Bombyx mori: one gene and its partner. The protein of the gene in region 2 purifies or fractionates together with the protein of the main gene of each other region. This does not show direct contact. Links are inferred from orthologs where the notes say so. Each region holds a gene or a part of one and is shown on either strand. Other genes may lie near its edges.

Evidence for each region. The genes of interacting proteins can lie anywhere in the genome.
Region 1: the proteins of tyrosine-protein phosphatase non-receptor type 9 (region 2) and leucine-zipper-like transcriptional regulator 1 purify together in Homo sapiens (affinity purification with mass spectrometry; 3 studies listed by BioGRID and IntAct, with this or other methods). This does not show direct contact. The link is inferred for Bombyx mori from reciprocal best matches to the Homo sapiens genes PTPN9 and LZTR1.

The regions. Positions count from the first base shown.
Region 1 is NC_085122.1:8,827,058-8,832,220, reverse strand, and holds part of leucine-zipper-like transcriptional regulator 1, read left to right. Parts: intron 1-954; coding exon 955-1,133; intron 1,134-2,353; coding exon 2,354-2,480; intron 2,481-4,434; coding exon 4,435-4,592; intron 4,593-5,163. UniProt on the Homo sapiens protein: Substrate-specific adapter of a BCR (BTB-CUL3-RBX1) E3 ubiquitin-protein ligase complex that mediates ubiquitination of Ras (K-Ras/KRAS, N-Ras/NRAS and H-Ras/HRAS).
Region 2 is NC_085127.1:4,650,906-4,656,168, reverse strand, and holds the start of tyrosine-protein phosphatase non-receptor type 9, read right to left. Parts: upstream 3,135-5,263; 5' UTR 2,818-3,134; coding exon 2,770-2,817; intron 2,022-2,769; coding exon 1,800-2,021; intron 977-1,799; coding exon 887-976; intron 1-886. UniProt on the Homo sapiens protein: Protein-tyrosine phosphatase that could participate in the transfer of hydrophobic ligands or in functions of the Golgi apparatus.

The DNA.
Region 1 (5,163 bases), on a different chromosome or scaffold from region 2:
TGCCCCGGGCATTGCTAAAGTCCATGGGCGACGGTAACCACACACCATCAGATGGGCCGTACGCTCGTCTGCCTACAAAGGCAATAAAAAAAAAGAAAAAAAAAGATTACAATTTTGATACATTTTTGGGGCTATAATAATAAATCTTACTAACGCGAGTACGCGACTGGAGCCCCATGACGTCCCTCGCGGTGATTCGGAGCGTGACCGTCGCTAGATAACAGCTGAGCCCTATCGAACCTGTGAATTAATCTTCTGAGATGAATTAATTCTTCTTAGGCATTTTTTTATTATTGTTACACCAATAAGAGTAACGCCATCTGTCACCGAATAGCCGTAACGAACATTAAAAGATCTGCTAACATCTAGAACGCTCGAGAAGTACAACGCCATCTATTGTCAGATATCGGAAGCACGCATCGAAAGTGCTCGACTTGTGAGGAATTTTCTCGACGATTCTAGAGATGTCGTATTGACTATAAAAGCGTTAGACTGCGACCGAGCACGCATACTGAACCCTCCCCAACTACCCTTCTGCATTACTTCGCTCTTGCCCTGAGTGGCAGGGAGCTTCTGCCCGGGCAGGGAGGTTTGCCCTGAAACCCGTTCCGTGTCCCCATACAAGGAAGCACGACGACTCTTCTTATCTTATTATAAAAGCGTTGCAGAGATGGCACGCAGTCAGTCAGTAATCGGAACTACTCGAAGCGAAACAGCGAACAGATCACCCGAAGCGAAGCGAAAGAAGTGAACTACGAGTTTTAAAGTGTTCTAATACAGTAGTAATTTATACTTCGATAGAATTTTATTTATCCCGAACCCCAACGCGTAACATTATTGAAGTACTACAGTAGAGCTTCCCAGTCATGAATTGATCGAAATACCGACGATGCGTTCCGCTGTCGCCTGGTTAACCTTAGTCCTTGTGTCGAGTGAGTGTGCGTTGTGCGGCAGGCACGACGCTGGAGCAGGACATGTGCGGGCTGGCGGGCGCGGGCGGCGCGGCGCTGAGCGACGTGCGGCTGCGCGCGGCGTCGCACGAGCGGCCCGCGCACCGCTCCATCCTGGCCGCGCGCGCCGCCTACTTCGAGGCCATGTTCCGCTCCTTCTCGCCGCGAGACAACATCGTCAATGTAATTGCTTACAAGTTTTTTTTTTTTTTTATTGCCTTTGTTGGCAGACGGGCATACGGCCCACCTGATGGTGAGTGGTTACCGTCGCCCATGGACTTCAGCAATGCCAGGGGTAGAGCCAAGCCGCTGCCTACCGCTTAATACTCTCCACAAGCCTCGTTTGAAGAAGGACATGTCATAGCGCTCGGGAAACACCGTGGAGGGGAGCTCATTCCATAGCCGGATGGTACGTGACAAAAAAGATCTCTGGAAACGCACTGTGGATGACCGCAGTGGCTCCAGGTAGTATGGATGAACTCTACTCCGGTGGCGAGCGGTGCGATGGTAAAAACGAGATGTTGGTATCATCTCGAACAATTCCTCAGAGCACTCCCCATGGAACATACGGTACAGAATACAGAGGGAACCGAAGTCCCTCCGCAGACCCAGATCTAATAAGAAGTTCTAATAACGTTCGAGCACAACACTATTCTACAGCTAAAACTGCTTGAACATGTTCGATCCACGCTTACTTAGATGAGTGTGCTCAGATGTTTTTCAAAATAGCTTCCACTGGCTATGTGATAGTCTGTTAACAAGATTTTTTTTCCTACCTATTCTATTTTTTTTTATTGTTTAGATGGGTGGACGAGCTCATAGCCCACCTGGTGTTAAGTGGTTACTGGAGACCATAGACTTTTTTTTTGGTACAATTTTTCCTTATTAAGAAAGGCAAGGGGATCAACCATCTAAAAGGTAAATGCGCCACCCACCTTCAGATATCAGTGCTAAGCTCTCAGTATAGTTACAACGGCTACCCCACCCTTCAAACCGAAACGCATCACTGCTTCACGGCAGAAATAGGCGGAGTAATGGTACCTATCCGTGCGGACTCCCAAGAGATCCTACCACCAGTAATAAATGCTCAGGGTTTTTTTTAATTAGCTTCCACTGGCAGTGTGATAGTCTGTGACAACGCCGCGTTTACATGCTATTAATGACGTCACAAATAAAGGCTATCATAAAAAGTTGACCAGAGCAGCGAGCTATTATTGGAAGGAAGATCTGTGCAGATAATTAAGACTATGATGCCTTTGTAATCATTCAAACACACACACGCAAAATATACTGTGTACAGAGAAACGTGCCATAGAAATATGATTTCTAATAGTTGAACTGCCATCAACCGATATTCATACATTATAATCATTAAAAAATTAAATTGTATTTTCATAATACAGATACAGATATGCGACACAATTCCGTCGGAGGCAGCGTTCGACTCTCTCCTGCGCTACATCTACTACGGCGACACGAACATGCCCACAGAAGACTCTCTATATCTCTTCCAAGCTCCCATTTATTACGGTTAGTAAGTAGCCTACACTTAAATAAGGTAAATAATTGTTGAAAGATTACACCCGCTCACCTGTCCCCAAACTAGAGTATCCGGTACTATGGAAACTAGAAATTGTAATACATACATAGATTTCAATATATACATATCATCATAATATAGATAATCTTACCGGTGTTAGGACCTCTTGTGTCTACCGTGAAGCAGTAATGTGTTTCGGTTTGAAGGGTGGGGCAGCCGTTGTAACTATACTGAGACCTTAGAACTTATATCTCAAGATGGGTAGCACATTTACGTTATTGGTGTCTATGGGCTCCAGTTACCACTTAACACCAGGCAGGCTGTGTGCTCGTCCACCCATCTAAGCAATAAAAAAAAAAAGATATTGAATAGTGAGGCAAAGAGAAAACAAGCAAAACATACTTTCTTAATTATAAATATAAATATTTAATATTATATAACTATTAAATTTATAAATAATTAATAAACTAATTAGTATAAAATTTTCTGTATTTATTTATATTTAACATTGTGTATATGCTCTATTGGTAAATAACATAGTTTATAAATTTAGAAGGCTTTAGAGGAAGAAGTAGATCTATGAATAAATGGAAGGATTGCGTGAAAGACGATATGTGTAAGATGGAAGTGAGCGAAGAAATGGTATATGATAGAGGAGTACGGAAGGAGAAGACTTGTTGCGCCGACCCCAGGTGACTGGGAGAAGGGCAGGAGAATGATGAGTGTTTATAAATTTAGAAAAAGGATCGTGGCGAATAAAATAAAACTATGTCATCATAGCACTACTACGGTCCACTTCCAAAATCTTCAAAAAAAATGCAAAAATGTTTTTTTTTTATTGCCTAGATGTGTGGACGAGCTCACAGCCCACCTGGTGTTAAGTGGTTACTGGAACCCATAGACATCTACAACGTAAATGCGCCACACACCTTGAGATAAAAGTTCTAAGGTCTCAGTATAGTAACAACGGCTGCCCCACCCTTCAAACCGAAAGAAAATAGAATAGAAATAGGCAGGGCGGTGGTACCTACCCGTCCGGACTCACAAGAGGTCCTACCACCAGTGATTACGCAAATTATAATTTTGCGGGTTTGATTTTTATTACATGATGTTATTCCTTCACCGTGGGAGTCAATCGTGAACAATTGTTAAGTACGTATTTCATTACAAAAATTGGTACCCGCCTGCGGGATTCGAACACCGATGCATCGTTATATACGAATGCACGGGACGTCTTATCCTTTAGGTCACGAAGATCCCAGGTCTCAGATGTCAGATTTTATTATAATAAAAAAATTAACTGACACTTTTTTAGGTTTTGCTCATTCAATCGTCTTCGCCATCTTGCTTTTCTCTGTCACTCTCTTTTCCCTTTCTTAGTGTTTTCTCTCACTCGTGTCTTAACGTTCCATTCCACACTCTTTTTATACGTTCCGTTCTTACCAATCTATACTAATATTATAAAGAGGAAGGATTTGTTTGTTTGTTTGTATTGAATAGGCTCCGAAACTACTGAACCGATTTGAAAAATTATTTTACTGTTTGAAAGCTACCTATTCCCGAGTGACATAGGCTATAATCTTTTTTGAAAAAAATTTGGGATCTTTGCTAAAACTCCAATATGTAACCCAAGGTATAAAAAAATTTACCTAAAATATTCTTTACATCGCGTGCCCTGCGAAAACTATTGATGACAGAATAAAAACGAGTACTACGCCTTGGTAGAACATATTACTATATTATTTACAAAAAGTATCGCGACAGCATATATACTAACTATTATAGTTATGCCGCAATAAGTGTTCTTTTATTTAAAAAATAAAACAACGTTAAAATATATCGTTGTAATTTTTGTTAAAGACCCGAGCGGAGCCGGAGCGGCCGCTAGTCCTACAATATTTGTTTATTTTAATATTTATTATCTATATTGTATTAATTGCACAGGATTCACAAACAATCGTCTCCAAGTGTTCTGCAAGCACAATCTACAGAGCAACGTGTCCCCTGAGAACGTGCTCGCCATACTGCAGGTCGCGGACAGGATGAAGGCGGCCGACATCAAAGAATACGCACTTAAAATGATCGTGCACCATTTTGGGGTTGTAAGTATCAAGTGTACAGCTGAAAATTCTATATATCGATTTACTTGATTATGGAAAAATCCAACGTAAATACAGAGACGGTCGTCGTAAACAAAATTAAAATCTGTTCAGAAGTAAATAGGTTTTTATCGTTTAAATGTTATACAGTGACGTCATTGTTCGATAGGGTTCAGAGGTGCGAAAATAATTCGATATCGAACCCTCTTAGTCATTTGATAAATAAATTGCTGTATGGATACAAAAAAAGCTTTTTTATTTTATTAGTTAGATAGGTGGACGAGCTCACAGCCCATCTGGTGTTTAGTGGTTACTGGAGTCCATAGACATCTACAACGTAAATGCGCCACCCACCTTAAGATATAAATTCTAAGGTCTCAGTATAGTTACACGGCTGCCGCATTACTTTTCCACGGCAGAAATTGGCAGAGTGGAGGTACGTACCCGTGCGGACTCACGAAATGTCCTACCACCAGTAATTACGCAAATTATAATTTTGCGGGTTTGATTTTTATTACACGATGTTATTTCTTCACCGTGAAAGTCAATCGTGAATATTTATTAAGTACTACTA
Region 2 (5,263 bases):
CGGCTTTTTATTGACATGAAAATAATATAACTACGACAGACTAGGCTGCATAGGCTAAACTCTGCCTGTTATTGGCGAATATAAAAACAACAACATATCGTTGCCGGCTTCCAGATTTTAATTTCCAAAAGAAGGGAAAATGAAGTCTGTTCTCAGAAACTACCTTCATTTTATTATTATTATGATGATATAATAATAATAAAATGTACATAAGGGCTTATTTCTAGCAACATTAACCACAATTAGCTTATTTATAATTAGTTACAGAACTAATTATGAGAGCGATTATTGATTTCGAAGAAAACAATTAAATACCTATTATATAAGTATATATAGGTACATAACCTTAATTTTAGGTGCAGAAAAAAACAGATTTCTCTTAAACCTGAGTGAGAATATAAAAATCGTTTTCTGAATATGAAACGATATTTCTTGTCTATAAAATTAGGTTAAAACCATCATGGCACGACAAATTTTTTTAGAGGCCCAATCGCCCAAAGAAAATGGGCATTGTCCTTTACATTTTCCAGCGCGCCAACGGGAAACACTACATGAACGCTCGATGGGGGCCGACTACTCGAATCGCGCTCGGCTTCAGTGTGCTTAGTGCGAGTTTTTTAACGTTCTCGATTGCGTAAAAGTTAGCCCAATTTTGTATGCAGTAGGAACCCCTAGCGGAAAACGTAGGCAAACGATCCCATTCCATACAAATATGAGCTAACTTTTACGCTAACGAGAACGTTAAAAAACTCGCACTAAGCACACAGTTCACTTACGCGCCAATTTTTTACATGTATATCCGAAGAAACCGTTGGCAAGATGCGTTGGCATTTTATAGTCTAGATGATTTGGTTTTAGGACTTGCAAGAAATGCTCGAATACAAACCTGTAGTGTTGTTTGATGCGTAGTCTGTGAGGGGAAGTGTTTGTTCGCTGTGAACACGGCAATGGCAGCACCGGTCGCATCTCTGGTTGGCTATGAATTAAACAATTTTTCATTAAATAAATGATAAAGCTTTATTAATGATTGAATTGCAAACTTACATTTACATGTGTTTATTATTATATTTATAGATCTTAACCTAAGAAATTACCGTTTAGTATAAAGAAAGTTAGTATTTTTTTCATATCTTTCTATTAAAATATGCACCCGTGGTATCGATACATCTCTGCCAGCGCAGTAGAGTATTTTTCCATTGGAATTCTTGAAGAAGTCAGGTGTACGGGAGCAAAAAACTCCTCAATGGCATTTTGTACTGCCTCTCGAGTATTGCTTTTTTCCTTGCAATAAAGTTGTCCAAACTTTAAAAAAATAATAGAAGTCTGTCGGCGCAAGGTTTGGTGAGTACAGTAAATGATAAAAAAATTCCAACTCAAGCTCTTGCAGTTTGGGGATTGTCTGTTGTGCCGTATAAGGTTAAGCATTGTCGTGTAAGAACCAACAGGGATGAGATTAACATGGCTTTGACCGGAGATTCACGAGGTTCTCCATCATTGTGTCCAGTTCCTCACAGTACACGTCTGTCAATACAGGTGCCAATTGGTACGAATCTGTGCATTATCCATGAGCGATGGTAACCACTCATAATCAGGTAGGCCCTATGCTTATTATTTAAGTATTTAAGTTTCGGTATGTAAAAACGAAATACCTAGTTCTTTACTGCCTAGAAAATATCAACAAAGGATTATTTTTTTGCATTTACATGGTCTTCCAACTATAACTCTCGGCAAACCTTGCTGCTTCACTTTGTCGTCGCCATTCTATATGCATATAAAAAAAGCTTTCTCAGAACACTCACCAGTATAGTAAATTTGCCGGTTTCGAGTTCTGACTTAAGTGGATCCTCGAACGGTTCAAACTTGTTGAGTCCCTCCCTTCGACGCGTGGCCTCATGCTGCCTCCAGAGCGCGTGGGCCCTCCCAACATCGAACTTGCGCGCCAACAAGAACTTGATCGCCGTCGCTCGTGATACACACCCCGCACCAGTCTCGCTGAGCTCGTTCAGAAATGTTTTTGTCGCCTGAAAAGTTTTATATTTTGTATCTCATTTCAACAATTACAAATTACGTGTTAATTTCATATTTAATTAAAACTACTTTCACGGTATAATCTCGTTTTTTTGTTTGAAATGTCATTATGTTATTTCTTATATTAGTGGTCGAAATTCCCGCAGTAGTCGAAATTCGACTATAATCAATTGAAATTTTATGTTTAAACATTATTATCGTTCTATTGTCAAACACTATTATACTTCTACAATATAATCACAGGTTTCGCCAAAACTACACTATAGATAAATAATATTAAAGACAAACAATATTAATCTATTCTCAATTTGACCAGACTTTATGCAATAACAAAAGTTTTGACAATTGACAATAAACAAATAGTATATTTATATGTATGTGTTGTGTCAAATACATGGTAAGTGTGTGTCATGTTTTATTTATTTATTTATTTAATGTATTTCTTATGCATAATTTTAAAAAAATATTCACATTCTGCACTCCTTCTCTATATATAAACTATAACTACGGGTATACTCATCCGTCCACGCAATTTTTGTAAAAATGGGTACAAAGTTTTTTCTTCACATATTATAGATTATAGATGTCATTAGATTATTTATTAGAAACGCTGCTCTGAAACAGATGCTCGACGCAATTAATTGAATGAATTTTCTTTTATTTCAAAAATAAAATATTTAATTTATTTAATTAAAAAATCTATCAAGAATTAATAAACGGGGTAATAAGAATAACCAGTACCCTTATATATTTAAGCAATCTTCGGAAAAATGCGGTTTCCATCTTCATGACAAATTTTTAAATCTTCGTATTGCACATTTCCATTCGTTAAATTCACTGCTTCGGCACTTTTTTCGTGACTCCGATAAAAAGACGTTTACATTAACCGAACCGAACCTGAATCGCATGATTTAATGCGCATTCTATTTAGTTACAGACAGGACGTGACGAGGGCGGAAAGGAAACTGACGTACGCTACCTATTGACAACTCGTGCAGAACAAACATAAAGGAACCGCTCTGAGAACTTATTTTAAAACATCCTTAACGTGGTATTCTTATCGGGGTGGCAGAGACTATACTCTCATCTTAGCTCGTAAATAATCTGCGGAGAACGGTATGTTGATTCTTCCGGGATGTGTTTCCTGTACAACTGGCCCCCCTCTTGCATTAGTATGGGCGATCACGAACTCACTACCGTATCGTAGAAAATCAAAACGGCTCGCTACGGCTTCCTAGTGGTCCGAACGAACTCACATTACTTGGTAAACATACAAGAGGACACGTGAAACTGTAATGGTTGTTTACATTATAATGAAAATAATAGTTCGAAATTTGAATGAATATTGAGTGTAATAACACTACCACGTAAAAACTGTTCTGTCGAAGCAATATAAAATTGTATTTAAATTATTAATTATCAATAAGGACGAACAACATGTTGTATAATCGACATCTACGAATGTTAAATGCGAAAAGCTCTGTACAGTCCTAAAAAATTTCGCATTAACGATTTATCTATAATCATCGATTACGGGTTGATATTGAAAAAACACGAGTGCAGAACACTTATTAAATACACACGACCACACGCACGATCACACCGTCACAGCTCCATCATCCAACTGTCAAATCACATTATAATTTATCGAATAGCGACTAGTGATCATTTTGCTGTTAGCGAACAATGAACATTATTTATGTTCATAAATAATAAATTACGGTCGTCTCACAATATTTTTTTATGTTTACCCGCATTTATTTTTATTAATATTAGATTGGCTATTAAATGCCTACTTATTAGAAAAATAAAAGAAATTAATTTGTATTTCTATGAAAATATTTCATATTTGTGGTTTTCTAATAATACCGTTTAATTGGCAGGACTTTTTTCTAGAAAACTATGTTTACAATCGTTTTTGTTTTGTTTGTTTTAAATTAAATTTATGTATGTTAGTACTCATAAAGAATCGCATGACACTGCACATGTAAGAAAAAATTCGGGTTATGAACTTATGAGTGTGTTCGTTACCGGTGGCTTCTTGGATGGTGGTCCGCCAATTTACTGTCGGGATTAAAAATTTCATTTTGATTTTTGGGATAAAACGTATTTGGTTTAAAAATTGCAATAAAAAATTCTACAGATCAAGCACAAATAAGTTTTCGTTTTACACTGTTTTACCATAATAGGCTACTTTTTATTGCGAAAAAAGGGTTCTAAAGGACTGAAAGAGGGAAATGAAAAGTTGTATGAAGTCACCGTGACCTAAGGATAAGACGTGGTCGAATCCCGCAGGCGGGTACCAATTTTTTTATAGTAATACATGCTTAACAAATGTTCGTTATTTACTTCCACAATGAAGGAATAACATCGTGTAATAAAAATCAAACCCGCAAAATTATAATTAGCGTAATGACTGGTGGTAGGTACCACCACACTGCCTAATTCTGCCGTGAAGCAGTAATGCGTTTCGGTTTGAAGGGTGGGGCAGCCGTTGTAACTATACTGAGACCTTAAAACTCATGTCTCAAAGTAGGCGGCGGCATTTACGTTGTAGTTGTCTATGAGCTCCGGTAACTACTTAACATCAGGTGGGCCGTGAGCTCGTCAACCCATCTAAGAATTAAAAAAAGTATCGTCCTTTTTAGAGCTAAAAGCTTGAAACTTTTTTTAGGATGTGGATTCTGTAGCTATAATTTATAATAATAGAGTTTGAATTATCCAAAATATAACGATAAGTGTCAAGAAGGAAAAAATATATATTTGCGAGCTATTTTTGCGTGCGCCGCAAAAACCGTTATTATTATTATTTATTTATTTCATTCCGAGCATTTGCATATTTATCTACCTTTTAAACCTTCTCTGGACTTCCACAAATGATTCAAGACCAAAATTAGCCAAATTCGTCCAGCCGTTCTCGAGTTTTAGCGAGACTTACGAACAGCAATTCATTTTTATATACATATATAGAAGATAGAAGATAGAAGAAGAAGATTATCGCCAAAATAGTGAACCATTAATATAAGAAGAAGAAAGATTAGATTTTTTCTTTGTTACTGACCAGGACCAGATTTGCGTAAAAGAATAAGTTCAATAATAAATTACGGTTCCCGAAGCGAAGTAAGGGCGGGTCGCTAGTTTTTAATACAGTTCAGCCCGCTTCAGTTGTATAGCATGTATTGGACCGTCGGTCTATCGAGCAATGTCGCCCGCTTGGTGGAAAGTCTTCCTTTCG